Linked DNA regions of Arabidopsis thaliana. The protein of the gene in region 4 binds, or shares a complex with, the protein of the main gene of each other region. Each region holds a gene or a part of one and is shown on either strand. Other genes may lie near its edges. A codon is read from its position in the direction of its gene.

Region 1 (7,482 bases), about 17 Mb from region 4:
ATATTATGTTTCTTTCCATCAAAAATTGTTACTGCTTTAGTTCTATGGGTCTATTTATCTAGGTCCACTATGATTCTTATATATATTTCCTTATCTACATGTCCACTATCAATCATTGTAATTAATTCTATCAGGCCCTTTGTTATTCCGAAAAAGAAGTGTAAAATCTACCGAATAACTTATGTTATGATGAATGGGAGGGGGAGTCAGCTTTGAAATCGTATACTGATCTTGTGTATCACAAATTCACAATAACTTATTAGATCTTTGATTTTATTCACAATGGTATTAAAAACTATTGTTTAAGTGAATAATTTGAGGTGTCAAAAAAAAAAAGTGAATAATTTGAATGATTGGCTCAATATCAAGCCCAATGATCAAGACCTCGTCTCTCCATTGCGTTCGCGTTTGTCACAAATCTCATGCCATAGTATTTTCAAGTTGCATTTATAATGACGAAAGTGACAACCTATATAAGGCTAAGCAACATAGAACAGGCATACTAAAAATCATTAATATATAGTATTATTGCTACACCTATTTAGTTATGTCGGTGGATATCTAAGGTATAATATGCACTCTGGGGGGATTTTGAAAATTTTGACCAACTAATTATTACAAAAGATCATTAATACTAAATGAAACTCATGATTTGGGGCAAGTCTTTAAAACATAGTTTTCCTGCCCACATTTGAAAAGTAAAATAAAGATCCTCTTTTGTTATTTGAGGGTTGTCTTTTTTTTTTTTTTTTTTTTTGAATCAATGTAAAATTTATTCAAAAAAGTCCTTGGTTACAATATATGCAGCTTTAAGCATAACGTTTTTTTGAGTTTCAGAAAATTTTAAAACCAAGGAAAAACAGAGGTATAAAGGATTTCAAAACAGAGCCTTTGTTAGGCTCTCGAGTGGAACCAAACCCGGAGGGCGTCGGCCATGTTTGATGGTTGGAGCTGGTGAATGAAGGAGATTCTACGTACGCCACATAATTTTACCATTTTCAACGATTGCGTTGTTTCCCAAATTATGAATTGGAACTTTGGTAGCATCGCAATATATACGACGTTTGGGTTTGGCCCATGCTGCCATGCATAGCAATAGTTTTAAATACATGTGGTTGGTAATATAGAAAATGGTTTGAAAGACCACAAACTTTGATCAGTGATCGATTCGGTAGGGCCACAAATAACAATGTTTTCGCCACATGGTCATACTTTACGTTTTCGATGAGAAAATATTTAAACAGTTTGTTCGTCAAATTTCGATTAACTAGAACAAAATTCATAAACGAGAGAGACAGAATAATTCGAGAGAGCTAGAGTGAGGGTAACTAGAAAGATAGTAACTGATTTTGTATCTAATAATTAATTCATTAATTTAAAATCAATGATAAATCACTTTGATGGTTGTGGCCTTGTGGGTAATTATAATTAACACGTACCATTTTTTATCAAGGCATTTTTAAACATTTTGTTTGTTTTTATTGAAGTTTTCTTCTCACTATTCAAAAACGTAAAACCCTAACAAAAAAAAGTAAAAGTAGAACTGTTTACAAGTCTGGCTGAATGGGTTGATTGACTCGACAAAAGATTTTCCATGTGGATTAATAGAACAAATTTTAATAATATATACGAAATTGATGTATTTTCTTTTCTTTCGATCACTATTAATGTCTTAAATAATAAAAACATATAGTACATTTTACAGATTATAAATTTATGTTGTGTTTTATTTTGAGTTTTGGCTTGAATTTTTTTTTTTTTTTTGTTGTTGTTGTTAAAGTGGTTTGAATCTGTATTGGTTACAAATAAAACAAATAATGTTACGTTCATTTTGTCTGTAGATATTTTTCTTACAACTTATGCAGCTATCTTTGGGGTTTCATTTTGAGTGTGGATGTTTGGTTTTGAGTTAACTCTGCATGTTCCGAAGAGGCGTAACTAAAATAAAAGAAACTACTTGAGATGCGAGATGTGAAATGTGATTAGATGAGAAAAAACGAACATTAATAATTGAGCAAAATAACTTTATTTAAATTTTGAATTCAGCGTTAGTGTTACACCCAAAGTGGCAAACAAATAGGACCGATGTTGAAAAAGAACACACGTGATATAAAATGTACTGAGAGAAAATTATTTGCATTAGATGACAATAAATACAATAATAATGAATAGATGAAATAACTTTTAGTTGACGAAAAAAAAAAAAAACTTTTAATCTATTTTATTCACTAGATCAAAAAGCATGTTTCAGACAGTTTTATTCTTATCATTCAATTATTTCACAACGTATAATTTTAGTTTATTTTCGTAATTTGTTAATATACGTATCAATTGAATATTTTTGACGGTTTTTATTATGTCATTTAATTATTTAAGGGAACATAGTTTATTTTAAAATGCAGTTCTATTTTACAAAAAAAAAGAAAAAAAAAATTGCAGTTCTACGTTGACATCTAGCTGATCAACTATTCATCATATATACTTGTATAATCTATTATTTTAAGTTCTATATTATTATTAATATGTTAAATATAGATATATCTATTTAAGAAAATATCATATAAATATATGTTATAAATCTATATATAGAAAAAATAAAGCACAGAATTTTGTCCCACATTCTGTCGATACGTACTCGAGCTTATGAAGTTGTTCTTTTCTAATTATATTTTTTCCCATTGCCCTTTATCAAATCAACTCTAATAAAAATATATGGTAACTTATGAAGTTGTCATGTATTTATGATATTTCTCTTTGGGTCGGCACTGTATTTGTGATGTTGATTATTTATCTAGTGGCAGAAAATATTCCATAAGTCTCTCTCAAACCATTTGAATAGTTCCAAAAACATCTTGTCACTAACACTCACTCTTGATGAGTTTTTTTTTTTTTTTTTTGGGGGGTCAAAGTACTCTTGATGATGAGTTGATATTCTTATTTAAAAAAAGCTTATTACTTATTTAAGTTATTTCAAAAAGTACATTCTACACGAGTGCCAGGCTTATATATATGCATAAACATATATAATTATGCATGGAGGAGTAGTAGCTTGCAATGTCTTGAAACTTTGATATATCTTCTCCTAGTCTTTCTTTTAAATGTTTAATATGAAAACACAAAATCCTACAACGGTCGTCTACCACAGTTTCTCAGTCAGTTTCATATTCAGATGCATCAGAGTTCTCATCAAGAGATCTATCAGTCTATTGCCTTAAACTCGACGACATTCTGTTTTTTTTTTCTTTTCTTATTTTTTCTTTTTCTTATTTCTTACCTATAGGTTGTATGTAAATCTATATCAAAAAAAGAAGAAAAACAAGATGTCAAGAAAGCCATGTTGTGTGGGAGAAGGACTGAAGAAAGGAGCATGGACTGCCGAAGAAGACAAGAAACTCATCTCTTACATTCATGAACACGGTGAAGGAGGCTGGCGTGACATTCCCCAAAAAGCTGGTATATATGTGCTTTATTATTATGTATATATTTTAAAACACTTTTTACATATATATAACTATAATTGTTGTTTTTATGACAAATGATGGTGTTTAGGACTAAAACGATGTGGAAAGAGTTGTAGATTGCGATGGGCTAACTATTTGAAACCTGACATCAAGAGAGGAGAGTTTAGCTATGAGGAGGAACAGATTATCATCATGCTACACGCTTCTCGCGGCAACAAGTAAAATCCTAGCTTGCCGAAATCCATATAAATAAGGGTATATATAATTAACACATTATTAAAGTTTATATATATGTTTTACTTAAAAGGTGGTCAGTCATAGCGAGACATTTGCCCAAAAGAACAGATAACGAGATTAAGAACTACTGGAACACGCATCTCAAAAAGCTCCTGATCGATAAGGGAATCGATCCCGTGACCCACAAGCCACTTGCCTATGACTCAAACCCGGATGAGCAATCGCAATCGGGTTCCATCTCTCCAAAGTCTCTTCCTCCTTCAAGCTCCAAAAATGTACCGGAGATAACCAGCAGTGACGAGACACCGAAATATGATGCTTCCTTGAGCTCCAAGAAACGTTGTTTTAAGAGATCGAGTTCTACATCAAAACTGTTAAACAAAGTTGCAGCTAGGGCTTCTTCCATGGGAACTATACTAGGCGCCTCCATCGAAGGAACCTTGATCAGCTCTACACCGTTGTCTTCATGTCTAAATGATGACTTTTCTGAAACAAGTCAATTTCAGATGGAAGAATTTGATCCATTCTATCAGTCATCTGAACACATAATTGATCATATGAAAGAAGATATCAGCATCAACAATTCCGAATACGATTTCTCGCAGTTTCTCGAGCAGTTTAGTAACAACGAAGGGGAAGAAGCTGACAATACTGGAGGAGGATATAACCAAGATCTTCTTATGTCTGATGTCTCATCAACAAGCGTTGATGAAGACGAGATGATGCAAAACATAACTGGTTGGTCAAATTATCTCCTTGACCATTCCGATTTCAATTATGACACGAGCCAAGATTACGACGACAAGAACTTCATATGATCCGTTGATTGCTTACCGGACTAGAGTTGACCGGTTAATGTCATATGGTTCTCTTAGATATTTGTCAAGTTATAGTAAAGGTCCACTATAGGGTCACTATATATTAATATTCAGTAATGGATTCTCTTAGTTAGAGAACCTTGTGATGCCGTGGATCAATTAGTATTTGATTTGCGGGAGACACGAGTTTTTTTTCCTTCTATTGTTGTTTGTGGATTTACGTACTATAAATAATAAATAAAACACCCATTTGATTGCAAGCGTTCACTGTACTAAAACCATTTGATTTAAAGTTTGAGCCTTAGTTTGTCTGACAGTCTGAGCCATGTTACCAAAAACAATGAAAAATATGTAACACATTTTAGGTTTTTGGTGATATGAAACTCCGAAGAAACAAATCCCTACTGACTACTGAGAAAGTCGATAAGCTTTTTTGTGGATAAGTTTCATGGATATATTAGAAGTAGTAACCATTAACCAACAAAAAAATAGCTTAAGTGAGTTATCAAGGGATCGATGAACAATTATGAGATCCAATGTGTTTTTGTTAAGAGGCAAAATCCGATGCAGTCTCTATGAGACAAAATTTCCATGGGAAAAACAGAGAGTTCTGAAGTCTCTCTACCTTAAACATGTGCAAGCCTTAGCTTCAAATGCTCCGTAAGGTTTTCATTTAAAAACATGAAATAAGATAGAGAAATGATACTTGATCCAACTGATGAAGATTAACAAGATAATTTTGAAGCAACTTCTGTTTGTATAATATGTCGTACAAAATCTGCTACCAATTTAGAGGCCAAATTATTTTCTTTTCTAGACAGTTTGTGAGGTGGGCAGCTGAAGGTGTTTAAGCCAAGATTCTCAAGATTTATAAATCTTGAATCGAATTAAGCTATCAGCCGGAAATTAGGAAATGATATGCATATAGGGACTAAAGATATAGTTGTTGCATTAAAAAGCTTAAAGAGAGAAGTGGATGTGAAAAGAAAAAAACCACAGATTTTTGCACACAATCTTGTGTGTTGATTGATATCCAAGTAGACTAATTAGACTGCTTTGTTCTACACGATAATTGGTTGTTTTTAGATATCAATACGAAACATGTTAAAATGTGAAAATATTTTAGATTAGATGATAACACCTGAATTTAATGACAAAAAAAAAAAAAAGTGGATAGAGACTAGAGGGACAGCAAGGCTGTGTGACATATATGGGCAGATAGACAAAGAAGCCGAAAAACGTGCACCGTCCAAGATTCTGGCTACTATACCTAATTTCCTTCCCGCAGGGACTTGACAAATATCACTATCTGCCATTTTTAGTTTTATTTTGTATTGGTGTCAAAGAATTGAAATAATGAACAACGGTCGTAAAAAGATGTAAATGGTGTTTGATTGATTAATGTTTTTTTTTTTTTCTTAGTATATTTTAGCAATTGCATATTATCATATAACATTAATTAATAATTATTGTGTTGTAGATAAATGTCATGCATAATGCAGTAATAAATGTGTGTGCATATATTATATATACACGTTAATTAGATGCTAAAATGAGTGACATATCTTTTAATTCTTTGATAACACCATTTCCATAAATCATTGTAAAACTTACCTTATAACAAAAAATTAATAAATGTTATAGGGGTCAATTGACCCCCATAACTCTACACTAGCCCCACCTCTGCGGATAAGCTTAACATGTCTATTAATATTCATTAGTTTACGTGGTTTAAAAGTTTATTGTCACGAGTGCATGACACTTACCGTGATGTTGACTATATGAAGAGGTAGATCGTACGTGTACAAATGACTTCATAGATCTTTGATCTTTTTTTTCTTCTTCTTCTTTTTTGGTAATATTCTTTAGTTTTATTTGATCTATTGTCGTTGTAATGATCTTTGATTACAAAGGAAAAAAAAAACTAAGACCCTTGACGAAAATAATAACCGTATTCGTAATCTCTGATATCCTACATTATGTACTATTTCTGATTTTTGTTTCTTATACGCACTTTTGTTCTAGATATAACTAAGAAAATGTCAAAGAGACCATATTGTATCGGAGAAGGACTGAAGAAAGGAGCATGGACTACAGAAGAGGATAAAAAACTCATCTCTTATATCCACGACCACGGTGAAGGAGGCTGGCGTGACATTCCAGAAAAAGCTGGTACATAACTATATATAGACGCATTTGTGTCTCTATAATATGAATTTATTCACAATCTGTTACTAATATGTATTAATTATTCTCTTAATTGATCATTTGATCTTTATCTGCTTTTTTTCGAGTTTAGGGCTGAAACGGTGTGGAAAGAGTTGTAGATTACGGTGGACTAACTATTTGAAACCAGATATCAAGAGAGGAGAGTTTAGCTATGAGGAAGAGCAGATTATCATCATGCTTCATGCATCTCGTGGCAATAAGTACGTATGGCATTTCTCTAGGCTTGTTTGTGCTCATATCAGTTTAGTGAAGACATGATCATCAATGTTTTGATATATATGTACCCTGTGTTTTTATTTTATTTTACTAGGTGGTCTGTCATAGCTAGACATTTGCCAAAAAGAACGGATAACGAGGTCAAAAACTATTGGAACACACATCTCAAGAAACGTTTAATCGATGATGGCATTGATCCCGTGACACACAAGCCACTAGCTTCTTCTAACCCTAATCCAGTTGAGCCCATGAAGTTCGATTTCCAAAAGAAATCCAATCAGGATGAGCACTCTTCACAGTCTAGTTCTACAACTCCAGCATCTCTTCCCCTTTCCTCGAATTTGAACAGTGTTAAATCCAAAATTAGCAGTGGTGAGACGCAGATAGAAAGTGGTCACGTGAGCTGCAAGAAACGTTTTGGACGATCGAGCTCTACATCAAGGTTGTTAAACAAAGTTGCAGCTAGAGCTTCTTCCATCGGCAACATCTTATCAACATCCATAGAAGGAACCTTGAGATCT
Region 2 (7,946 bases), on a different chromosome or scaffold from region 4:
CGTCACTCCTATCATCTGATATAAGAAAAATAAACTAGTTGAATGCAAATTTTCATATCTTTTTGTGTTGATTATATATACATAATACATGAATAAAGAAGTTGGTTTTTTATTAATTTCGTGGTAAGTCCGCCGATTTGGCCTTTCTATACGCATTCAAACTTCACAATACTATAAGAAATTAACTCCTCAGTTTTATTGCCTTCTTGATAAGTGGCAACTGGCAAGTAAGGGTAATTAGTAGTAACGGTAGAGGCTAACGAATTCACACGAGTCACTGTCAAAATAAAAAATTGAATTCAAATGACATGAGTAAGGATAGATTAACAAAAAGAAAGTTGTAATGGATAGACGCACATTGCCAAATTCCACATTATAGCTTTAAAAAAAAAAGTCTGAACGAAGAAAGAGTTGCAATTATTTAGTAATTTCAATGATATGGAACTTGCAAATTGTGGAAATTCTTAAGAACGTCCCCAACCAAAAACCAAAAAAAAAAAAACCAAAAGCATGCAACATGGAACCACATATAAGAGTACCCTTCTTTACGTCAATTATCTTTAAAGCAAGTCTTCGCTCTTCAATTTATATTTTACCAAATCATCTTCTCTCTTTCTCTATCTCTCAAAACAAAAAGTAACCATGATCAAGACAAAGACGACGTCCCTTCTCTGTTTCCTTCTCACAGCCGTTATACTAATGAACCCATCTTCCTCCTCCCCCACTGACAATTACATATACGCCGTTTGTTCTCCGGCTAAATTCTCCCCTAGCTCCGGCTACGAGACAAATCTTAACTCCCTCCTCTCTTCCTTCGTCACCTCAACCGCCCAAACCCGCTACGCCAACTTCACAGTTCCCACCGGGAAACCGGAACCAACCGTTACCGTATACGGTATTTACCAGTGCCGCGGCGACCTAGACCCAACCGCCTGCTCGACGTGCGTATCAAGCGCCGTCGCACAGGTCGGAGCCTTATGTTCAAACTCGTACTCCGGGTTCTTGCAGATGGAAAATTGTCTGATCCGTTACGACAACAAATCGTTCCTTGGGGTTCAAGACAAAACGTTGATCCTCAACAAATGTGGACAGCCGATGGAATTCAACGACCAGGATGCGTTGACCAAAGCTAGTGACGTCATCGGTTCTTTAGGTACCGGAGATGGATCTTACAGGACAGGTGGCAACGGGAATGTTCAGGGTGTGGCTCAGTGCTCCGGTGATCTAAGTACATCACAGTGCCAAGATTGCTTGTCTGATGCAATCGGACGGCTCAAATCTGATTGTGGAATGGCTCAGGGAGGATATGTTTACTTGTCGAAATGTTACGCGCGTTTCAGTGTTGGTGGTAGTCACGCGCGTCAGACCCCAGGCCCAAACTTTGGTCATGGTCAGTCTTCCTCTAAACTTATTTTAACTAAACTAGATAAAAAAATAAAAAGTCGTAATCACTAAAAAAAAAACCTTTTTACGTAACCTCAGATGAAAATTTAAATATTAGACTGATCTTAACAATTAGTCTAATGGTTTATATATTTGTGTACGACGCTAAATTTTTAAACCCATAAAATTGATAGTGTTGACCATAAATAAAAATATGAACATTATACTTGATGGAGAAAACAAATTTATTAAAAACTTTAGAGGTGGATGGATAGTTTTAAAATTATATATATATATATTTGGCAGAAGGAGAGAAGGGCAATAAGGATGATAATGGAGTGGGAAAAACATTGGCGATAATAATAGGAATCGTCACCTTAATCATCTTGCTCGTTGTGTTTCTCGCTTTTGTTGGAAAGTGTTGTAGAAAATTACAAGGTATTTTTGATATTGATTTACGTTTTTTTTTCAGTTCTTTTATCGATCATAAAATCTAAATTACTATGTATATGCCTTTTGCAGATGAGAAATGGTGTAAATGAAAGGACAAAGTGGGAAAGATATCAATCAACAACTCGAGTCGAGCCACACTGTTAGTTGTATTTTTGTAATTTTTTTTGTTCTCCCTCATAAGATGTACGTAGTTATAGTATATTGATAATTTGATATAGTATTGATATGATTGTATCTCCGAATCGATTTTTGTATAATTGTCGGACTTATATAGGCCAAAGCGATATCTTCTTCTTTGATGTGAATGAAACCTTCGATTTCTTATCTTCTATAAATGCCATGTTTTTCGTCTATGCAAAAAATAACAGTAATTAAAAGGGTTTGAGCTTCTTTTATCAATACACAAACAAGTTAAAATAAATGAACGTGTCGAGAATAATGGAACATATTAAACCGTAAATCAGGATGGAGATCCAAAAAATGATAACTGTGTTCGTCCTATTGCGAATGTCTGAACGAATCTTTTCATCGTATTCATCATTATTTATTCTCATATTGTCTAAAGAACTCAATTGAAGACTTGGCCTAATGTCCTTTAATCATTAAAAATGATAATTTAAAATTGTAAGCTGACTACCAAATCGTTTTAGGACTTTGAAAGACCAACTAACGTCTAATTCTTTTCCATATTTTTTTTAATTTTCTGAAATTCTTAATGTACTACCGATGATTGCTTCATAACCAGGTTCTTCTTTTAATTTGTACATGAGTAACATGACTAATAAATGACTTGCGTCTGTTTGAAACATTATATGAATAAGAAAAATTGGTCTCAAATAACAACATGATGTATCAAAGATTCAAAAATTTCACGTGTTATGAAATGAGCTTAGCAAAAGTTCACTCAAGTTCTTGGAGGTCTAGTTTGGAATGCAATTTAGCCAAATCTGTACAGTTATACTGAACAGATTTAATGTAAGTCGGGCCGTAAACAAAATTATGGGCCTTAGATAAGCAAATCAAACTTCTTTCAGCCCATTGAGCATTCTCGTGATTTGGTTATTGTATATCCAATACGTGACATTACTTTTGCCTCAACGAAAGAGTCTTGGCTTATCATTTCATTTATTATTATAGTTGAAATAATTTTCAAAGAAAAGAAAAAAATATGTGATAAATACCAAACCGTTGCATAAGAAAAGCAACCACACATTTTACATGTGTGTGTGAGTTCACGAAGAAAATATCCAATAGCCAAACTAATTAATCCACCTTTGAAAAAAAACATGCACTATTATAAACTAGAGCCACCGACGGTCGACGGATGTCTAATTGTATATGGTCCTCAGAAATGAAAAAATCAAAAGAATAAACACGTGTGAATTAACCGGTTTAACCAGTAGCACCAACCGTTTGTACCGGTCAGAAAAAAGCCCCACATGCTTTAATCAAGCAAGCCTTTAAAAACAGGAAAGGCAAAGAGTTAAATAAGCCTCTCCAAAAGTGTGTCTGTAACATTACCAAAACGAAACCTTCCTTGTGGATTCCCACTTCTTTCTTCTGTTTTCTTCTTCCTCTTCTTTAAATTGGATGTTTTGGGCAAGAAACAGAGAGAAACACGTTAATTTGAGAGTTTGTCATTGAATATTTGGTTTGCAATGGAAAGAGATTTTCTGGGTTTGAGCGACAAGCAGTATCTAAGTAATAACGTTAAGCATGAGGTTAACGATGATGCTGTCGAAGAACGAGGTTTGTGTTCTTGTCTCGAGAATCTTTTATTTTAATGTTTCAAGAAGAGATCAGTTTTCACTTTTAACATAGCCGTATAAAGTTGTTTATTTAAATATAATTTTTCAGATTCCAAAACTTGAAAAAAAAAAGATTCCATTAAATCTTTTATAAAAATGAGATTGGATAGATTAGTCAAATTGACGACCATAAAAAATGATACTTATAGGGTTAAGTACGAAGGCAGCTAGAGAATGGGGGAAGTCAAAGGTTTTTGCTACTTCAAGTTTCATGCCTTCTTCAGATTTCCAGGTTGGTTCATCTTAAAATTTAACTTACTCTGTATCAGTTTCAGATGTTATGGCTAATCTAATGGTTCTATAAGCTACCGCATAATCATGGTCGTCTTTTAGCATGTGCAAGAGGAGTACTCAATTATGGTCTTGATTAAAAAGAAGAATTTACTTTCAAATTATGTTAAACACATCAATCACATATTTATGAGAAAAGTTGTTTTCGTAAGAGATAGCCACCGGAAAATGGTCGGATAAATGGCCGAACTTTATCATTTTTGTGTATGTGGCCAATCATTAACCAGGGAAAAAAAATTGTTGGATAAGTGCTAGTTAAGAGCTGGTAGGGTCGGTCGTCTGCCAGCCGCAAAGTTAGGGAAAAAATAATTTAATATTTTGTGGCGTTTGGTGTTTGGCGTTTGGATCACGTTTATTTCTTGGCATTTTTCTAAATTTAGAATGTACAAAAAATTTAAAGACGTTGACGATTAAAATTTGAATTTAACAAATTAGGAGGCTAAGGCGTTTCCGGGTGCATACCAGTGGGGATCAGTTTCTGCGGCCAATGTTTTCCGCAGATGCCAATTTGGTGGTGCGTTTCAAAACGCGACGCCGCTTTTACTAGGCGGTTCAGTTCCTTTACCAACTCATCCTTCTCTTGTTCCACGGTAATTTCCATATTATGATGCAAAAACATTCAACAATTTTTTTGCTCTTTTCATATTTTGATTTGGTTATGTGGGTTTGTGGAAACAGAGTGGCTTCCTCCGGATCATCTCCTCAGCTCACAATCTTTTATGGCGGAACTATAAGCGTCTTTAATGACATATCTCCCGATAAGGTATATATAATCAAGATTCATACAAATAACATTTACATAACATTTACATGTTCTAAAACGGACTATTCATGATATGTGAGTAGGCTCAAGCCATCATGTTATGCGCCGGGAACGGTTTGAAAGGTGAAACTGGAGATAGCAAACCGGTTCGAGAAGCTGAAAGAATGTATGGAAAACAAATCCATAACACTGCTGCTACCTCATCAAGCTCTGCCACTCACACTGATAATTTCTCAAGGTGTAGGGACACACCCGTTGCTGCGACTAATGCAATGAGCATGATCGAATCATTCAATGCAGCTCCTCGTAACATGATTCCTTCAGGTATGTGTGTCTAATATCAACATCAAAACAAAATATAATCAAGATTTTTGCTTCCTCAAATCATATGTCTAAACTCGAAAATTGCTTTTTTCCAGTCCCTCAAGCTCGGAAAGCATCCTTGGCTCGGTTCTTGGAGAAGCGCAAAGAGAGGTTTGATTTTGTATTTTTTTTCTTTATAGAAAATTTTGAGGTTTTTCAATTGAATCTAAAAGAATTGATGTTGTTGGTGCAGGCTTATGAGTGCAATGCCATACAAGAAGATGCTTCTTGATTTGTCGACCGGAGAATCCAGTGGAATGAATTACTCTTCTACTTCTCCTACATAAAACCTACACTTTTTTTTTTTTTTTTTACAATGGTAATTTGTAATTGTAATCATTAGATTATGATTATATAGTTACCATTTATATTCTTACGAGCAGGAGAAGACGTTAGGGCGTCTCTGTATTTGATCATTGTTTGTAATGCTTTGGTCTGTTTATTGTAGGATTACATTATAACTTTAAGAACTAACAGATATATGTTTGTCATGGACTCATGTCTGTCAAGAATTTAATATCAAATAAAATTCACTATAATTTTTTTTTTGCTAATTTCACAAACACACTTCATTAACTAATTATATGAACACTTAATTGATTTATACCAAAATCATATTGAATGCATCGCTAAAGAGAATAGTACTAGTTTTGTATCGCCAGCTTTCGTTGTTAACAAGTCCACTTTACTATTATTCTCTCGAGTTTTTTTTTGGTATCAATGTAAAGAAAATAAGAAGGTGAAAATTCTCTTGAGGTTGATGATTGTGTAAAATACCTAAGATGATATATTACAAAAAATGATATGTTTTCAAAGGAAAATATTCATGTTTTAAATAGCTTTTTATGAAAGTCACGAGTTCAAAATTTGATGTTAAGGAGAATAAATACTACTAGTTTATGTGCTACAGTAAACAAAAAAAAAATTGTGAACCAAAAGAGCTCACATGTTGATTACGAAAACAGAGAGATTCTCTTCACAAGCGGAAAGATCTTATAGATATTATTATTTAGAGGCAGATAAATAATTGTAGGAAAGTAATAATGGTGAAGGAGATGCACATAAGCAAAAGTTTGGTGAGGAGGACAAAAAAGAGAGCTTAACCTCTAAATTCATCACCAAAAACACGTTCATATATATGAGTGGATAAGAACGATCGTCGTGGTCTTATCATTTTGCGTATCCTCTCTCTCGTGTATATGTTGTATCATCATTTACTCACTTGTCCTTTCATGCCCCCACCAAGTTGTGCAATTTGAACTACCACTACACAATTCAAAAGTACATTGTTGGGGCTAAGTTTAGTCCTTTTGTGTTTAGATTGTTTCATGAATTGATGGATTTATGATTCCCAACACTCATTTTGTGTTATCTCCTTCACTCTCCATTTCAATTAGTACTCTCTTTTACTTTATAAAATTAAACAAAACTTGTACTCTGCTTCACATTTTAACTCCTTTGCTTCTCTCTATCACTCGATATATAGCAACAATAAAGTGATTTAAAATCAATTGTGACATCAACATTTCTGGTACAAACCTCTATACTACATGTTCATACAAATTTTAATTAATAAATACAATTTTGATTTTGACTTTAATAGTTTCTATCACTTTACATTATTTTCATTTTTTTTTTTGAAGAAAGCCAAGGTCTCTTCTCTCTCATTTATCCATTGGTATAGAGAGAAACATAGCTTTCCCTAAAAACGTCTTCTTTTTGTTGACACAATTGTTTCCTTCATTAACGAAATATAAACCAAAACTTGTATTATCTCTAAGGTTTGTGTGACCATAAAATTGTTCTGAAGACAAGACAAGGTCCACAAGGACATGAATATCTGCGATAAACAATTTCACACAAATAATCCAAAAACATAAATGTCATACGTTTTAAACAAAATACATTTTTGAGATAAACCCTGAATTTGTTTCTTCCTTTTACGGTGTGTGGTTCGAAACGATGCAGTGCCATGCCGGGTCATAAGCAGAGACAAAGTCACGATTAGTACACATCTCACATTTTTCAGATCAACAAACATCAAATAAACAGATTAGAAGCTGAATTGTTTCAAGAGTTTCAGTGTTATACAATATCCTCTAAGAAACTTTATCAACAAGGATCACACAGCGCTAAGTAAAAAATTCCTAGAATTATCGAGTGAGCTATCCTCGGGTAACGTCGAACTTAAACAATAATACACGCGCACTAGGTCTCATAGGCAAAGACAACAAGATGAATCATAGTAAGCAAACGAACTCTTAGCTAACAAATTAATTTTCTTTTTCTATGGGCTTATTGGGCCGTCAACTGGACCATTTAATTTTACTAAGAAGGACAGAGATGAGGAAGTAGACCACCCCCATGAGGAAGGCCCAACAGAGATGAAATCATTATGAAGCTTGATTTGCAAAACTATAGATGGATATTTTAATTTTTAGTAGGAATCCAAACAAACAATAAACTTTTCACACAAAACCTATCATTGAGTTTTTTAGTTTTAACTGTTTTTGCTTTTGTTGAATTTGGTTCGATGATCTTTTTTTCTCTTTAAAATCAAACTTTGGTCTGATGATTATATCAACTTGTCTAGCGAGTATTAACTAGTCGTCTTGCAAACAAATAATTCAAGTAATTGACTGCAAATATAATAAGTTTAGACACCGACATAACTCTTTCTCTTCTTCACTAATTACGGGCTTACAATACAATTGGTTAAGTAGTAGAAAATAAAGAGTGGCAATAACATTAAAAAAGAAAAAAAAGGGTTTTAGGGTGGCCTAAAGTTTCCAGCACACCTCTAATAGGATAGAGAGTAATAAGTAATAAGGCCCTCCCTCATCGCCAAGTAGAATGGGCGGAGAAGTAACCGAGAAGGCCCACTA
Region 3 (7,521 bases), on a different chromosome or scaffold from region 4:
GGTTTGGTTCGATTACTCAATCGAATCGGATCGTGCACACACCAAACTCTCTTCACCAGCTTCTGACACAGACTTTGCAACTCTCATGACGGATCTTTGCTTCTAATTCACTATTTCTCGGCTAGATCTGTGGCAAAACCAGAACCTCAATGTTTCTAGTTCCTCGTTAATCGAATCATGGTGGAGAATTTGTTTCCTTCTCGATTTCAATTTCATCTTCAGAGACTTGACCCGAAGCGTCGTCTTACTTCTCTCCTTGCTTCTCACAAAACACTCTTCACATTTCTCTGGATCACTGCCTTTGGTTCCGTCTTTCTATGGCAGCGAACGGCTTACATCGAAGGCGGCTCTGGAACTGGTCCTGTCGGAGGAAAGTTCACAATTTTCGGTAAGATCAAACCGATTCAGCCAATTCCCCGATTGAGACCTGTGGTGTTTGATTTGAAGGATTTTGGAGGTGTTGGAGATGGGTTTACGCTTAACACTGAAGCATTCGAGAGAGCTGTGATTTCAATCTCTAAGCTTGGGGGAAGTAGCGGCGGAGGTCAGCTGAATGTGCCGCCTGGACGGTGGCTTACGGCGCCGTTTAATCTCACTAGCCATATGACTCTGTTTCTCGCAGAGGATTCCGAGATTCTTGGTGTTGAGGTTTGTAAAATGTTTTGATTTCCTCTTGTTTTGCTTTCATTTCGAAACAATGAAACGAATGCAAAAGATTGATTGGTAATTGTTTACTGAAAGTCAGACTCTTTAGCTCTGTTTAGGTCAGAATTGCAGAAATTTAAGCACCACTAAGCTTGGAACATTAGATTTGTAGGTTACAGGTCACTCACTCTAGCCAAGTTAGAGTACAAATGACTGTGTTTGCTTGTTGTGTGAAGGAACATAATTTAGGAGATTTTGAGACTTTGCGTGATGGATGTGTGCGTCTTGTTTACTTAACGTGTCACTTTAATTGTCAGGATGAGAAGTATTGGCCTTTAATGCCACCATTGCCTTCATATGGTTACGGTAGAGAGCGTCCGGGACCTCGTTATGGGAGCTTAATCCATGGTCAAAACCTCAAAGATATTGTGATAACTGGTTAGTGGTTTTCCTCTTTCGAGTTCATGTTTGTGAAATTGTGGTAACCGTGTTAGTAACTAAGGGGTATAAGGAACAGGTCATAATGGAACAATAAACGGGCAAGGACAATCGTGGTGGAAGAAGCATCAAAGAAGACTTCTCAACTATACGAGAGGGCCTTTAGTTCAAATTATGTGGTCTAGTGACATAGTTATCGCTAACATTACAATGCGTGACTCACCGTTCTGGACTCTGCATCCATATGACTGCAAAAATGTAACAATAAGGAATGTCACCATCTTGGCTCCTGTAACCGGAGCACCAAACACTGATGGAATTGATCCAGGTATGTTCATTTACCGCTTATATCTGTTTTCCGGTTATTCTGTACTCATTTAAAACGTTTTGAACCATCTTGTTTATTTCCGTAAACAGATTCGTGCGAGGATATGGTAATTGAGGACTGTTACATTAGCACCGGGGATGATGCGATCGCGATAAAGAGTGGATGGGATCAGTTTGGGATTGCATATGGACGACCTTCAACAAACATTCTTATTCGTAATCTCGTTGTTCGCTCTGTTATCAGGTAAAGTATTTTCTCATTTCTCATCTTACACCGCAAAACTTTGAAAACGTTTTCTTTTAAAGCAAAAGAATGAAAGTGTTCTATATGTTTTGACAGTGCTGGTGTATCAATCGGAAGCGAAATGTCTGGTGGAATATCTAATGTGACGATCGAGAACCTTCTGATCTGGAACTCACGCCGTGGAATCAGAATTAAAACGGCTCCAGGACGAGGCGGTTACATCAGAAACATAACCTACAAAAACCTAACACTAGACAATGTTCGGGTTGGGATAGTGATCAAAACGGATTACAACGAGCATGCAGACGATAATTATGATCGGAAAGCATACCCGATACTTTCGGGATTCAGTTTCGCGGGAATCCACGGACAAGGAGTGCGAGTGCCGGTCCGGATCCATGGAAGCGAACAGATTCCGGTAAGGAATGTGACGTTTCGGGACATGTCCGTTGGGTTAACGTACAAGAAGAAACATATATTCCAATGTTCGTTCGTGAAAGGACGAGTGTTCGGTTCGATATTTCCTCGACCTTGCGAGAATTTTGATGTTTACGACGAGGAAGGTCGTCTGGTTAAGCCTGCAGCTGAGTCCAATGTGGCGGACATTGACTACGACATTTGAATGTTTTTTCAGTTCATTGTCATTTGTGTACATAAAAGTAAATTTTGGGACACAAAAATGAAAATTATTTTTCTTTGGACCATTTCTCTTCGTCGTTGGGGTTTTCTCATTCTGATAAATAGTTGTAATTTTAATTAAAGTAATAAATATAAATATTTATCACAAATAGGTCAACTAAAGATAATTCGTTGATGAACAAGCAATATATTAGAACAAAGGAGTTAAGTTGCTTTATTGATCGAATTAAAGAATAAAATTTGGATGAATACAGAACTCAAACTCATAAATGTTGTTGAGGTTCATAGTTTTGCAGTAGAATGCTTAGAAAAATCAAAATCTCCATGTTGAGGTTATTAATATTGAAAGCACGTGTTGTTGTATTCGACTCAATTACTAAACTCGCATGTTAACGCATGACACATGATAATATCGGCATATTCAGTGAACCAGGTTGGTTCATGATCCCTTCCAAAGCGGACTCACACCTTAGACTCGGAGCTCACACGCCAAATCGCTCGGCTAGGTTTTGATAGCCAACTCCGGCCAAAAAACCAATCGCGAGAATGTGGTTTTTGATTGACCCAACTCACATTTTGACCTAGCACGAAAACCAAACACCAACATGAAATAAGATAAACTATTCAAAATATCTAGTTTTATATAAAAATCTTAATTTAATGTCACGAGAAGCATGTTCGCACTACTAAAGTTAATTAGCACAGTTTCGAACATTTATATATGTATATTCTGCAGAACACCGACGACTCCAATAATGGTCACGACTCACGACCCATGTGGAGTAATAGTTTTCCTTCTTTTTTAACATTTATAAATTTTAATATTTATTTTCGAAAGGCTAACAAACGCATGCGTACCTTTACATGAAACAAAAAGAAATTGTAGAATAATATTGTTTGAACATTTCTAGATATTCATGTGCATATTGTTCAAAACTTGTGTATGATTGTATCATTGATTGTTACATAAGTATTTGTTAAACAAATAAAAACTATACAACGTGGCTACGTATCAATCTATGCTTAGCAAAGTCAACCATGTAAATTTTGTAAGTATTACCTTACTCTAAGAAAATAAAACCCTAAACGAACAGATAGGCTTGCACCTGTATAATATATTAGACATTACAAGTCTCTACAATGTTGGTTTATCATTAACAAGGACTAAACAATATACTATAATCATACAATAAATTAAGAGTCGTAAATTAATGGTAAACTCAACTAATGCATGAATAGTTGTAAAAGTATATATATTTGGACACGTTACTCAACTTGCATCGCGGATCTGTATTCCTTCCCAACCACTACGTACACGCATTTCCCACGAGTTTGACGATCTTTCTCGTTTAATCTAATCATATCTACTTTTATAGGCTCCATAGCCCACATTTCATATCTTATAGTACGTTCCAACTTCTAACCAATAAACTCAAAACTAGTTGAGTTTTTTAATTAGTGAAATATATCTTGAATTTTATATATCTAATCTTGCACCAATAAAGTTTCTGTCAATTATGTAAAAGAAAGACTCGTTGTATCAGTATGGGACGACTTTTTCTTCTGAATTGTGTCGATCGAGTCCATATTATAATACTTTGTCACGTACTTTGTTTACTGATTAATTTAATATAATTGTGTCGCATTATCCAAGTCTAATTAAACATTAATGTGTATATTATACACCAAGTTACAATTACAGATCTATCTCTTAGTCGTTTTATTATGTATAGCCTACAATGAAACATGACATCAACGTATAGGTGAAGCTGAAGCCTATACATAAAAGTAAGGTTTTGGAGTTTGTTTCATGTTTTAAGGTTTTAGATATTTTGTGATCGATTTGCATGTATAGGGTTCCAAATATCTGAGCTTTGGCTTGGTCTACTTTGAGAAAGCAGCTGTAGAGATCAACTTTAGCCGTTTAGGTGATAAAATCACATTAGAACTCTATAGGTCGCGTAGCAGCGTATAAGAGCCCTGGATACTGAAATACAAGAATCTCTCCACGCGTAGAAAAACGAACCAACCATGATAAAACACGTGTCATATCGAATAGGTACAGACAACGTGCACTTGCCAACCTTCTTTCCTTGTAGTTTCCTTCTTCTTTGCTTCTTTTTTTCGTTAAATATTGATATTGTTCAAAAAACGCATAACAACAAAAACGTGGTCGACGGAACATGTGGGTGGTGGAGTTGTCTTCTTTAGGGGACCACTCACTAACGCCGTTTACTTTCCCGCTTGGACGATAACACCCTTGATATATGGATTAGTCTCTCTTTTGCTTTTGGATATCTTAATATATTTTAATATGTCCATTTTTATATTGACGACCATTTAATTAGGTCTCAGTTTGTATTATTGATTTTTAGGTGCCAAGCATTACTTTCGTTACGTGTAATCTTTTGATTATTCAATCAAATTATCATATGGTTCATGGCATTTTATCAATTGTGACGGTCGACATGTGGGTTGACTTTGATGTATGACTTTTAGCTTGTGCCTCATTTTTATTCCAACTCGACAACTAGCAGACTTTATATTTTAATTTATTTCTTTCTAGATATTAGACAATTCTTAGCTTGTCTCTCTGCATGAATCACGCGTTAATATACTTATAATAGTAAGTTTTAAAATGTTTCGAGTATAATATCATATTAGATTTCAATTATAATTGTAAGATTATTTAGTCTCAATGAAGAGCATTTAAAAATGTGAAAGAGTTTAGGCTTTGACTGTTGACTGGTTCTAACGCGTTTTGCTTCTTATTTATACAAAAAGATTTTATTTTATTTTAATTAGAAATATTAAGTACTTTTTAGACGTGTTTAGGTTGATTAATTTCTTGTTAACATATCCGATAAAAAAAAACAGCACCAAAATCACGACGAGAATTATGCCTACGTTACGTTGATAATAAAGATTAGAGATAAAATGTAACCTCTCTTCTCTTTACATCATTACATGCATCTTGTGTTTTATTTGACTTTATTCTTACCAACAAACAACCAATGGATAAATTAGGCTCGTGAAGGAGGGCAAACTCGTAATTTCAAAGAAACGGAAAGCGTCAGAACGTGGAGAACAGTGAACCGAGACACATTCCCGATTTTTCTAAAGAAACAAAATAAAACACGTGTTTTTTATACCATAAGTAAAGTAGTAGTATTTATTAAACTATTAATATATAGCTTTGTTATATTGGAGGTAGGAAGAAGAACTCTGCAACCAAACCAACCAACCCCAAAGCCAAACAAAGTTTTATAGAGACCTTCCATTTCTCCCTCTCGTGACAAACGCAATTTGCAGAGAAGCAACAGCAACAACAAGAAGAAGAAGAAAAAGATTTGAGATTACTTTGTATCGATTTAGCTATTCGAGAAACTCTTGCCGTTTGAAAGTTTTAATTGTTAAAGATGTCGAGTTCTATGGAATGTTCTGAGTTCGTCGGTAGCCGGAGATTTACTGGGAAGAAGCCTAGCTTCTCACAGACGTGTAGTCGATTGAGTCAGTATCTAAAAGAGAACGGTAGCTTTGGAGATCTGAGCTTAGGAATGGCATGCAAGCCTGATGTCAATGGTAAGAAACCTTCTCTTTCTCCTAGATCCACTTCTTTTTTCGTTTTCTCTGTTTTTTATTTCTTGAATCTTGATCTTGAAAACTTTTCAAGAAAATTTTGAATCGATTTCAAAGAAATTAGGGAGAGTTAGTTTGCTAAATTTTGACATAGAAAATGATTGGAGAGAGTTCTAACTTTTGGATCATATATATTTGCAGGAACTTTAGGCAACTCACGTCAGCCGACAACAACCATGAGTTTATTCCCTTGTGAAGCTTCTAACATGGATTCCATGGTTCAAGATGTTAAACCGACGAATCTGTTTCCTAGGCAACCAAGCTTTTCTTCCTCATCTTCCTCTCTTCCAAAGGAAGATGTTTTGAAAATGACACAGACTACCAGATCTGTGAAACCAGAGTCTCAAACTGCACCATTGACTATATTCTACGCCGGGCAAGTGATTGTATTCAATGACTTTTCTGCTGAGAAAGCCAAAGAAGTGATCAACTTGGCGAGCAAAGGCACCGCTAATAGCTTAGCCAAGAATCAAACCGATATCAGAAGCAACATCGCTACTATCGCAAACCAAGTTCCTCATCCAAGAAAAACCACAACACAAGAGCCAATCCAATCCTCCCCAACACCATTGACAGAACTTCCTATTGCTAGAAGAGCTTCACTTCACCGGTTCTTGGAGAAGAGAAAGGACAGAGTTACGTCAAAGGCACCATACCAATTATGCGATCCAGCCAAAGCGTCTTCAAACCCTCAAACCACAGGCAACATGTCGTGGCTCGGTTTAGCAGCTGAAATATGAATGCTAACCACCCTCAAGCCGTACCAAGAAATTCTTTTGACGACGTTGCTTCAAGACAAGATATAAAAGCTCCTATCTTCATGCTTTTTGATTTAAGATACAAACTACTCAATGATTAGGAAACTTCATATATTTGTATGTATTGATTAGTGATCAATTATTGTTAGTATTCGTTATAGTCTGTTTTTCTACTAGTTATTGTCGCCTGTCTAAATCCCCTTGCTATGGGTTATCTCAAAATTAGTTTCGTATGTAACTAATTTTGTAAGAACAATAATTTTTGTTGACGAACCATACTATCAAATACTCTAAATTATATCTTGATAAATCTACCTATCAGGTAAGTAGGTGTGTTTTGTTTTCATTTGTTTACTTGTTACCTACTAATCTCATATTTTATGATTCAAATTCAAACCCGTGAATTATGAGTTAGTAGGTAGGTTTAACAACATGTCAACAACTAAAGAACAACGTGACATCTAAACCAAACCAAAACTATAGAGAGTTCAGAGTAGTCGTAGTCTCGTAGAGATCATTCATATAAATAAATCGCATAAACACCAAAATCAACTCTTAATTCTTTCCTAATCATCATTAATCTCTAATGGATTCCGAAATCGCATTCGACTATTCTCCGAGGTTTCGTATATTCAAGAACGGTGGCATCGAACGCCTCGTACCCGAAACATTCGTCCCACCGTCACTAAATCCCGAAAACGGCGTCGTATCTAAAGATGCCGTCTATTCACCGGAGAAAAACCTCTCTCTCCGCATTTACCTCCCTCAAAATTCCGTCTATGAAACCGGCGAGAAGAAAATCCCACTACTCGTCTACTTTCATGGCGGAGG
Region 4 (8,203 bases):
TTTTGTTGGTTTGGTGGATCTTTACGAATGTTTTTTCCCATCTTATTCACACCAAGATGATGATGATGATGATCATTATTATGATTATCATTACCACGATTACTCTGATCATCCATTATTAAAACTGAAACAAACAAACAAAACAGAGCAAATCCAAATCTTGGGAAGAAAATATTAGAGAAACCACAAAGACTTAAACCACAAGAAGATTTAAACCAAGAACCTCTCTAAAACAAGTAAAATCAAGGGTTTTATAACAAACCCTTTTAACGAGAAAGAGAACTTACGCGTTTTCTGAATTTGACTGGAAAAATGAAGATTGGAAAAGAAGAAACAAGAGAAGAAGAACAAAACAAGAGGCTTTAAAAAAGAAACTTTGACTTTTTGTCTCTCTTTTTCTCTCCATTAAGTTGTTAAATCTTAATTTAAAACTAGTTTCTGATAACTATTCGATTTTTTACTAGATACAACCAACAAGTGGATTAAAATTAGGAATTTAGGATACATACGTAAACAAGTTGAGGATTAGTGTTTATAATATGACTAAAGACTAAAGTTGATTATTTAGGAGTCGTATTTTTTATACCATGGTTTTACTACGATTGATCAGACTAAAGTTGATTATACAAGTGTTGATAATCTAATAGATCGTCGAAAAATTGTAGAACTGTTACATCTCTTATCGTTAAACTAGCGATGTGAAATAGCTGAGAATATTGTTTTAGTAACGTTGATATTACTTTATGATTGGTGTGATTGTTAAAACCGTATATCTTGTATTGCAATGGTATAGTTTGTACTATATAGCGATATGCCGATATGGATAACGATTAAAGAAACGAAGCTATACCACAAAAGTATATGTCATGACGATTCGAAACAAAATCTGCCATGTCAATTGTGTATTAATTATTTCGAAATTACGCAGTGCGAAAGTAGGCCCAATTGTAATGATGATTTACTTAACTTTTAAGTCGAGTCATAATACTCTTAGAGAATTAGAGATAAGTTTTCTTGTTTCTCTTATGATTGATTTTTTGTTGCTTTGTTGGTTACTAATAATTTTCTGAAAGATAGCAAAAGCTTTACTGCTTATGCAATTTGGCTATTTAGATGGAATAGTATACCACCAATAAGGATGATCTCTCGTGTTACGCAAGAAACTCGAAAACAGATATGAAAACGATTTTAGAAAAGAAACAAAACACTTTAATGAAATTACGTTTTCATTCAAAGACAAAAAAGAAACATAAAAACAAATATTCAAAGAGAACAAAACGTGACAAGTAATAAATCAATGGAAACGTTTTGTCGTCCAAATAATACTATTATACATCTCACATATTCTATCACGATTATATAATCACGAATCTGGATTTGAAACTATATGTAATCAGCTTTATCCTCTCACATTTATATAAAATCTCAGAATCATGATCAATCATTGATCATATATTCATATGTTAATCTTCCTTTTTTCTTCTATTAATCCTTGATCTCTCAAATTCTCAAAACTCCAATTCCTTCGGACTCCAGTGCTCCTTACGAGCTTTGGTTGTTCCGGCCGGGTTGGTACATTGCTAGGGCTAGAACCAACAGGACCACTTAGCCTAACGTGATGAATCTTTTTCACCTTCTTCATCTTATGCGCTAAAGACGATCCTGGCCGTCCAATCTTCTCATAGATCCTAGGACTCAAATTCCCTGACCAATTTCTCCCACCAATAGGATTTACACAACATGTTTTACCTAGAACATTGTTAATCTCGACCCTTGGTGGTCCAGGACCGGAGAGATCAACATCTTTGTTGGAATCTGTTCGTGGAAGGGCTTGACATGATAGACAATTTAGGCTCATGGCTTTTTTGCGATCTCCTTACGACAATGGAGATCAATAATGAGCGAGAGAGAGACAAGGAAGAAGAAAGAGAGACTATATGGTTTTATTTAGTTAGTAATATGTTTCTTGTTTTATTTTAGTAAAAGACTAACGAGAACTAATCTAATTTTAGTGAAAAGTGTATATTTGTAAATTCGATTTTGGGTAACACACACGTTGCATGTGTAAGTAGGGATATCGCCTCACACGTTAATTAACAACTATAACCTTCATAGAAATGAGAGAGTTTTCTGTCTTTGGTCGTTGGTTATAATCAAAGACAAATTTTGTAAGAATTAACAATAGTTGTTGTCATATATATTTTCATTACAAAATTATAGTGTGAACGAATGAGTGAACAACTATTTAATATACATATACCTAAGATAGATGAAAGATGGCTATAATTTTCTAACATCCTTTAAAGAGGAGGGGTCAACTTTATGGTACTACATGAAAAGTATTTTTCAATTTATTATGAAAACTTAAGTTGGTGGTTTTTAATTAGAACTCATCAATGGTGGAGAAAAGTAGCTTATTGGCAACTTTCATTGTTGATTATGCAGTAAATGTTCTTCATGTTTGCAGAAAATCAAATGCCTTCACATTTTGGTTTAAACAAAAATTTGAGACTAAACCTACTAGCAAATTTTCGGATTTAAATTCAAATTGTGATACTACAAACTCAGTTCCAAAAAGAATATTCGGAAAATCTTGATTTTTGCGGTATATATGTTACTAAACTACTTAAAGACTAGTCGTTACTAATGTACACAAGACTATAAGAATTAAGAAACATAGGTAGATCACACGGCTCTCTAAACATAGAGATATACTCAAACTCACACATAAGATAAGATAAGATAGGCACTAAAAGACTTCCTACTCATTACTTAAAACTAACAAATCTTTGGTTTAACTTTTAGTTTCTTTTACAAACAAATCACACATGTCTCCACATTTTTGGCATTATAAACAGTTTCCTCATACCCCCTTACAAAGATAAGAGCACTATCTCTAGGCAAAACCCATTTACAACCACTTATTTTCCTCAGCTTTTTGGTACACTACAGTTCATAAATTTGGACCTTTATGTACACTACAAAGTTACAAACTAACAAAAAAATTCAATCATAGAATAAAAAAACTTCAATAGAATTTAGGATCTCACTTAATCTTACTCCATACATATATATACATACAAGTACAACCAAAGATTTTATTATTTCGCTAACTCTCTCTGGTCTTCTAGTCTCCAACTTCCTTCTCACTTAAGGCTTATGATAACACTAAGCTAAGAACTAAGCAAGTTCTCCTAATGAACAACAACATTTAACAACATGAAGCGAGTGATGCAAAATGAGTACTTACTACTTTACAAAAGACCATACATTACCCGCTAAATTCGATCCCATTTCATCGATGAAAACACTAGTTTCCCCTCTTTGATATGCCAACTTTGTTCAATAGTTTTCTCCGACTTTCGTCATCAAAGCAACTTTGAGCTGGTCATGATTGAAAAATTGGCTCCCCATCTTCACCGTAGCTTGTTGAATCATCAAATCATTCACAACGGATAAACTCGCATGATTCACTTCCAAATCCAATTCCTTAAGTGCTTCCATGAACCTAGCACCGGGATGATCTTTCTTGCCGCATTGTACACGTATCATCACATCCCAACCTATGATCTTAACATCAATCTCCATTTCTATAGAACTCGCCGTAGAATCTTGATTCGAACTTTTCCGTTCTTTTGCCCTTGACCCGCAACCTTTCCCATTATTCCCTTCCTTACTCATCCCATCTAGCTTCTTCTGAATCTCCTCTTTATCAGACTCCGCTTGCTGCAGCTTCGACTTAAGCTCATTGATATACGAAATCGCGTCTCCGAGAAGCGAAGCTTTATCCATCTTCGAAACGTTAGGAACAACAGCTCTCAAAGAGTAGAATCTCTGGTTTAACTTCTCTCTTCTCTGCCTCTCTGCTTCAACATGATTCAACGGCTCTTCTCTCCCATTCGCCGGTTTCCTCCCCCGTTTCCTCGGCTTCTTCTCCGGTGGCTCAACAACAATCGCTTCCTTAACAACAGATGCTTCAAGATCAGAATGATCCGAATCATTCGCAGCTGATCTAACCACAGTACTAAACGAAAGCATCCCTTCATCATTATTACTCCCTTTAGATACCGAAGTTCTCTTCTTACTACTCTCATTACCACAGAAACTCAAAGTCTCATTAGATTTCAACAACCCACCTTGAAAGGTCAAATCTTTCTCGACAAGACACGAACTTTGACGATTCTGATTCTCTACAGAGCTAATATCATTCTTCTCAAGCTTAGAAATTTGATGAGAATCAGACTTAGAATTAGAATTCGAGTTATTACCATTATTAACCCTCGCCGGAGATTCGATTCCGGTGTTCGTCGGTTCACTAATCCACAAAGCTGGATCATTCTCTCCTTGATCTGGATTCAGATTAAAACCCCACGAAGAAGCTTCAACACCATTGTTTCCACCACCGTTGTTGAAATTAAACAAGTTGTTAACTTTATGCATCAGATCTGAGCTTTGACTTATAACCTCCGACGAACCAAGCTCAACGACGCCGTTTTGAGTCGCGATACACACCATCGTCTTTAACCCGTAAATCTGACCTTGACCCGCTCTTTCACAACCCGACCCGGTTAAAGCACCAGACCCGGATAACCAAATCACACGAGAGTTTAAGAAAGATTCTCCGGGGAGACCAACACCGTTAACGAAGCTTTGAGTCATCGAAACTAAGAAGAACCATTCAGTATCTGTTACTTCTTCATCGTTTGATTCATCGGAAACCCCAATTCCGCCGGAGATTAACGAGTTAAGCTCACGTATTACTCTTTTCCGATGCTCTTGCTCCGCCGTGTTGGTGTTGTTCTTCTTCTTCTCTTTATCTTCCTCTCCTTTGTAGTAACCATCTCCCCAGCCGAGGATCACTGTGTTATCTCCGGTGGATGAATCGAAGTCGTGTGAGATCTGCCAGAAGATAGCGTAAGTCCAGTTTTCTCCGGCGGATTCTATTAAAGCTTGGAGACGTTGTTGAAGAGTATCTTCGTTGAACTGAGGCTGAGGTGGTTGTTGTGGTGGTGGAGGAAAGAGAGATGAGTGGTGGTTTGTTCCAATGAAAGCTTCCATAGCCGCCGCCGACGCGTCATCGTCGGAGGTCAAGAAGTTGATTGATGATGTTGTGCCGTTCATGTGAACATACGCCGGTTGAAAAGGTGATATTTTCCGGTGAAAGGTGAAGACTTTTTTCCGGTGAGAAGAAGAGAGAGGTGACGTGTAGGGAGGAAAAATCAAAAGAGGGAAAAAGCTAAGCAAATGGCGTTTAGTGATTGTTTGGAGAAGATGATTCTCTCTACAATACTATATTTTATTTTTATTGTTTTTCTAAAACAATTGTAAATAATTTTTTCTTATTTTCTTAAGTTTTTGTTGAGAGTTGCGACATATTATATGACAAAAACCAAACGATAATAATTTGGTTAACTGTTACGAAAACGTAAATAAATTATTCATGGAGTGATAATTCTCGTTTGGACACTGTTTTGTCTGAAACATAACTTAGATCCGTTTATTATCACATAGCCACTTATTGTTTTATGGAGAAAAAACTAATAAATAATCCATTTATGGTGATATAGTGACTTAGAGTTTCGAATATGGACCAATGCTATAATTCAAAATTTCATAAGTTAGAAATCTAAAATATAAATTTTATTTTTCATATAAATTAATATTTTAAACTGCAAAAAAGAATTGCATTTTTAAAAGGAAAAAAATAGATTCTACTCAATTTATATCAATTAAGTTAGGAATTTAAAATAATATTTCAACTGATTTTATGTTAGTTATAGGAAAATAAATATATATGAAAAAACTAAAAGTGTTTTCTTTCTCCAATCATCTTTTTTTTTTAAATATCATTTCATTATGTTCATTTTATTAAAAATCAGTTTGAACCGTTAATATGAAATTTACGTTTTCAAATAATTATCCGGTGTAAATTTTTTTTTGGTGTAATGGTTAACTAAATATCCATTAATACTTCATCACACCATATATGAAGTTTGATTTTCATAGATTACAAATTATTGAAGATTAATGGAAACGATTTCTATCTAGAGATTTTAGTGTGGTGCATAGAACCGTATGTCGTAGTACAGTACCATCTGTCAAACTGTAAAATTGTACAAGCATCGATGTAAAACTATCGGTTGTGGAGTTGACTACGAAAACCATAAAAAGAAAACTCAAAAAATGATTTGCTAGTCCTAAAAATTATTTGTAATATATATTCAAATAATAATGTATCCAACAACATAGCAACTTCCGTTCAATTTTTGAAAGAGGAAGAAATTAACGTATAAAATTTGTATTTTCTCTATAAAATTCATATTCGAATTTATTTTTTCTTAGACATTTTAAATTGTTTTTTTCTTTTTTTAAATATTGGAATTATGTTGTGTAGCCCACTTTAATTGTTTGGGTCCTCTGTCTAGGCATCGTCTGTCTGCTTTCCATGTTTCTGTCACCATAATTGACATATCTATTTATTAACAATCTTCATATTTTTGTCACGGTATACTGTAAGTTTTCTTTAACCACATTTTTTTCATCAAATTTTTTATCGTTTGGCTAAAACTATAATGACCAACCAAAGTATATAATTTTTTAAAACGTTACATATGATTTTTTTGTCAAAGTTACACATGATTATTGACAAAGAACTACACATGATAATGCCAACCATTACTTATAAACAAAATATCCAGAAAAAAAAAGAAAGAAGAAGAAAAGTAGTCAGTGAAAAGGACAACATGTACAATAATATTCAATGGTTAATCACGATGGCTAAAATGATCCAGCTCACGTGATTCTCGTGGATGATGTAATTACAAAACGACTTTAGACCCACTAATCGTACACTAACATATGATTATTGACATTACATAATAAAATATCTCTACTTCTTGCCAGTTTTCTTACAAGACATTGATAAACATGTTACATGTCACAGAAACATTGTATCAAGTAAAAAGTTTTACTTTATCAAAAAAGAAAGAAAGTAAAAGGTTCGAGAGGAATTAGTGAAGATAACCTAATTTAATACCTTAATGTACTTCCATAACAAGTCGATTTTTTGGATTTAACAATTATTTTGGTTTTCAATTTTTCACAATTCTGTCTTCATCTTTCAAGCGATCCTCTTTGCGCTAATAACAAGATGGAGAAAATCATGATAAAATTTAGCGATGAGGTTTTATCCTTTTTCATTTTCTGTTTTATGGTTAAGTTTTGTGATTAAAGAATTAGAAGTTTTTTACAGGATTTAGACTATGGTTAGAGTTTACATTTGATTTAGAATTGTGTGACTTTCATATAAAAATAATGACATCTACGAAATTACGAAATACAAATATGGGCTTATTCATTATTGGGCCATACAAGCCCATCGAGTTTAGTATTGATCCTCTAATCAAAAAACGTAAACAAATAAGATAACAGAAAAACAAAAACAAAAATTTCTGCTTTGAAGAAGAAGAGTCGATCCATAATCGCCACTTTCAGATTTCCAGATTCTGGGGAAACATCTCTAAACTCTTCAACGATGGCGACTGAGAATCTCACCGATAAGAATGTTGTTTTCAGAAAGCTGAAATCAAAATCCGAGAACAAGGTTAGGGTTACTCAATTTTCGATTTTGAATTTCGTTCAGATCTGGAGCTTATACGACCTAAATCTTCCGAATTGATTTATGATTTTGCTTCGGTTTTTAGGTTTGCTTTGATTGTAGTGCGAAGAATCCAACATGGGCTTCTGTTCCTTATGGGATCTTCCTATGCATCGATTGTTCTGCTGTTCATCGAAGTCTAGGTGTTCATATCAGCTTCGTCAGGTAAAACTTTGAATCTTGAGGAACACAAATTTGAACTCTTTAGGCTTAATTTTTAGCTTCATGGACTTGTAGCAATGTTTCACCTTCTGGCTAGGGTTTAAGCTGTGATTAGGAAGATGTTGACTTATTTTTTCCTGTTGACCACTCTATTTATAGCATTTCATGTTGTTGTAGATCTATTATAAGATCATATTGTTTTTGTGCAGGTCAACGAACTTAGACTCGTGGAGTCCTGAGCAGCTAAGAACAATGATGTTTGGAGGGAACAATCGAGCTCAGGTGTTTTTTAAGCAACATGGATGGAATGATGGTGGTAAGATTGAGGCTAAGTATACTTCAAGAGCTGCTGATATGTATAGACAGACTCTTGCTAAAGAAGTT

What was found.
Region 1: the proteins of MYC3 (region 4) and MYB29 are in contact, whole or in part, in a crystal structure (PDB 7FDM), measured with the Arabidopsis thaliana proteins. Residues at the interface, in NP_199488.1 of Arabidopsis thaliana: Glu49 (codon at 4,977), Gln53 (codon at 4,965), Trp92 (codon at 4,848), Gly93 (codon at 4,845), Asp94 (codon at 4,842), Gly95 (codon at 4,839), Tyr96 (codon at 4,836), Tyr97 (codon at 4,833), Arg123 (codon at 4,755), Glu124 (codon at 4,752), Ser127 (codon at 4,743), Leu128 (codon at 4,740), Gly131 (codon at 4,731), Glu142 (codon at 4,698), Glu143 (codon at 4,695), Glu148 (codon at 4,680), Phe151 (codon at 4,671), Leu152 (codon at 4,668), Met155 (codon at 4,659), Thr156 (codon at 4,656); in NP_196386.1 of Arabidopsis thaliana: Ser184 (codon at 4,055), Ser185 (codon at 4,058), Thr186 (codon at 4,061), Ser187 (codon at 4,064), Leu189 (codon at 4,070), Leu190 (codon at 4,073), Asn191 (codon at 4,076), Lys192 (codon at 4,079), Val193 (codon at 4,082), Ala194 (codon at 4,085), Ala195 (codon at 4,088), Arg196 (codon at 4,091), Ala197 (codon at 4,094), Ser198 (codon at 4,097), Ile203 (codon at 4,112).
Region 2: the proteins of MYC3 (region 4) and TIFY7 are in contact, whole or in part, in a crystal structure (PDB 4YWC), measured with the Arabidopsis thaliana proteins. Residues at the interface, in NP_199488.1 of Arabidopsis thaliana: Ser18 (codon at 5,070), Gln53 (codon at 4,965), Gln74 (codon at 4,902), Ser76 (codon at 4,896), Trp92 (codon at 4,848), Gly93 (codon at 4,845), Asp94 (codon at 4,842), Gly95 (codon at 4,839), Tyr96 (codon at 4,836), Tyr97 (codon at 4,833), Ile122 (codon at 4,758), Leu125 (codon at 4,749), Asn126 (codon at 4,746), Ile129 (codon at 4,737), Asn140 (codon at 4,704), Glu142 (codon at 4,698), Glu143 (codon at 4,695), Val144 (codon at 4,692), Glu148 (codon at 4,680), Phe151 (codon at 4,671), Leu152 (codon at 4,668), Met155 (codon at 4,659), Thr156 (codon at 4,656); in NP_177227.5 of Arabidopsis thaliana: Val219, Ala222, Arg223, Lys224, Ser226, Leu227, Ala228, Arg229, Phe230, Leu231, Lys233, Arg234, Arg237, Leu238.
Region 3: the proteins of MYC3 (region 4) and JAZ1 are in contact, whole or in part, in a crystal structure (PDB 4YZ6), measured with the Arabidopsis thaliana proteins. Residues at the interface, in NP_199488.1 of Arabidopsis thaliana: Gln53 (codon at 4,965), Gln74 (codon at 4,902), Trp92 (codon at 4,848), Gly93 (codon at 4,845), Asp94 (codon at 4,842), Gly95 (codon at 4,839), Tyr96 (codon at 4,836), Tyr97 (codon at 4,833), Ile122 (codon at 4,758), Leu125 (codon at 4,749), Asn126 (codon at 4,746), Leu128 (codon at 4,740), Ile129 (codon at 4,737), Glu142 (codon at 4,698), Glu143 (codon at 4,695), Val144 (codon at 4,692), Glu148 (codon at 4,680), Phe151 (codon at 4,671), Leu152 (codon at 4,668), Met155 (codon at 4,659), Thr156 (codon at 4,656); in NP_001319041.1 of Arabidopsis thaliana: Leu201 (codon at 6,511), Ala204 (codon at 6,520), Arg205 (codon at 6,523), Arg206 (codon at 6,526), Ser208 (codon at 6,532), Leu209 (codon at 6,535), His210 (codon at 6,538), Arg211 (codon at 6,541), Phe212 (codon at 6,544), Leu213 (codon at 6,547), Lys215 (codon at 6,553), Arg216 (codon at 6,556), Lys217 (codon at 6,559).

What each region holds. Positions count from the first base shown.
Region 1 is NC_003076.8:2,443,770-2,451,251, forward strand, and holds MYB29 (myb domain protein 29), read left to right. Parts: upstream 1-2,899; 5' UTR 2,900-3,320; coding exon 3,321-3,453; intron 3,454-3,549; coding exon 3,550-3,679; intron 3,680-3,768; coding exon 3,769-4,516; 3' UTR 4,517-4,815; downstream 4,816-7,482. Other genes in the region: MYB76 (myb domain protein 76), read left to right, coding at 6,556-6,688, 6,816-6,945, 7,056-7,482. UniProt on the Arabidopsis thaliana protein: Plays a minor rheostat role in aliphatic glucosinolates (GLSs) biosynthesis, mostly short chained. Together with MYB28/HAG1 and MYB76/HAG2, promotes aliphatic glucosinolate biosynthesis but represses indolic glucosinolate biosynthesis.
Region 2 is NC_003070.9:26,651,457-26,659,402, forward strand, and holds TIFY7 (TIFY domain/Divergent CCT motif family protein), read left to right. Parts: upstream 1-3,311; 5' UTR 3,312-3,494; coding exon 3,495-3,585; intron 3,586-3,793; coding exon 3,794-3,876; intron 3,877-4,370; coding exon 4,371-4,525; intron 4,526-4,613; coding exon 4,614-4,698; intron 4,699-4,781; coding exon 4,782-5,022; intron 5,023-5,117; coding exon 5,118-5,293; coding exon of another isoform or gene 5,294-5,348; 3' UTR 5,349-5,608; downstream 5,609-7,946. Other genes in the region: HWI1 (Receptor-like protein kinase-related family protein), read left to right, coding at 643-1,390, 1,690-1,821, 1,906-1,925; GH9B1 (glycosyl hydrolase 9B1), read right to left, coding at 7,900-7,946. UniProt on the Arabidopsis thaliana protein: Repressor of jasmonate responses. Jasmonoyl-isoleucine (JA-Ile) specifically promotes COI1-TIFY7/JAZ9 interaction. Interacts with and suppresses RHD6 and RSL1 transcription factor activities to negatively regulate jasmonate-stimulated root hair development.
Region 3 is NC_003070.9:6,616,600-6,624,120, forward strand, and holds JAZ1 (jasmonate-zim-domain protein 1), read left to right. Parts: upstream 1-5,177; 5' UTR 5,178-5,232; intron 5,233-5,320; 5' UTR 5,321-5,712; coding exon 5,713-5,875; exon of another isoform or gene 5,876-6,073; coding exon 6,074-6,672; 3' UTR 6,673-7,021; downstream 7,022-7,521. Other genes in the region: AT1G19170 (Pectin lyase-like superfamily protein), read left to right, coding at 178-648, 963-1,083, 1,163-1,411, 1,501-1,654, 1,751-2,276; AT1G19190 (alpha/beta-Hydrolases superfamily protein), read left to right, coding at 7,277-7,521.
Region 4 is NC_003076.8:18,971,149-18,979,351, reverse strand, and holds MYC3 (Basic helix-loop-helix (bHLH) DNA-binding family protein), read right to left. Parts: upstream 5,331-8,203; 5' UTR 5,122-5,330; coding exon 3,343-5,121; 3' UTR 2,762-3,342; downstream 1-2,761. Other genes in the region: AT5G46780 (VQ motif-containing protein), read right to left, coding at 1-116; AT5G46770 (uncharacterized protein), read right to left, coding at 1,457-1,858; AGD9 (ARF-GAP domain 9), read left to right, coding at 7,535-7,603, 7,704-7,822, 8,029-8,203. UniProt on the Arabidopsis thaliana protein: Transcription factor involved in tryptophan, jasmonic acid (JA) and other stress-responsive gene regulation. With MYC2 and MYC4, controls additively subsets of JA-dependent responses.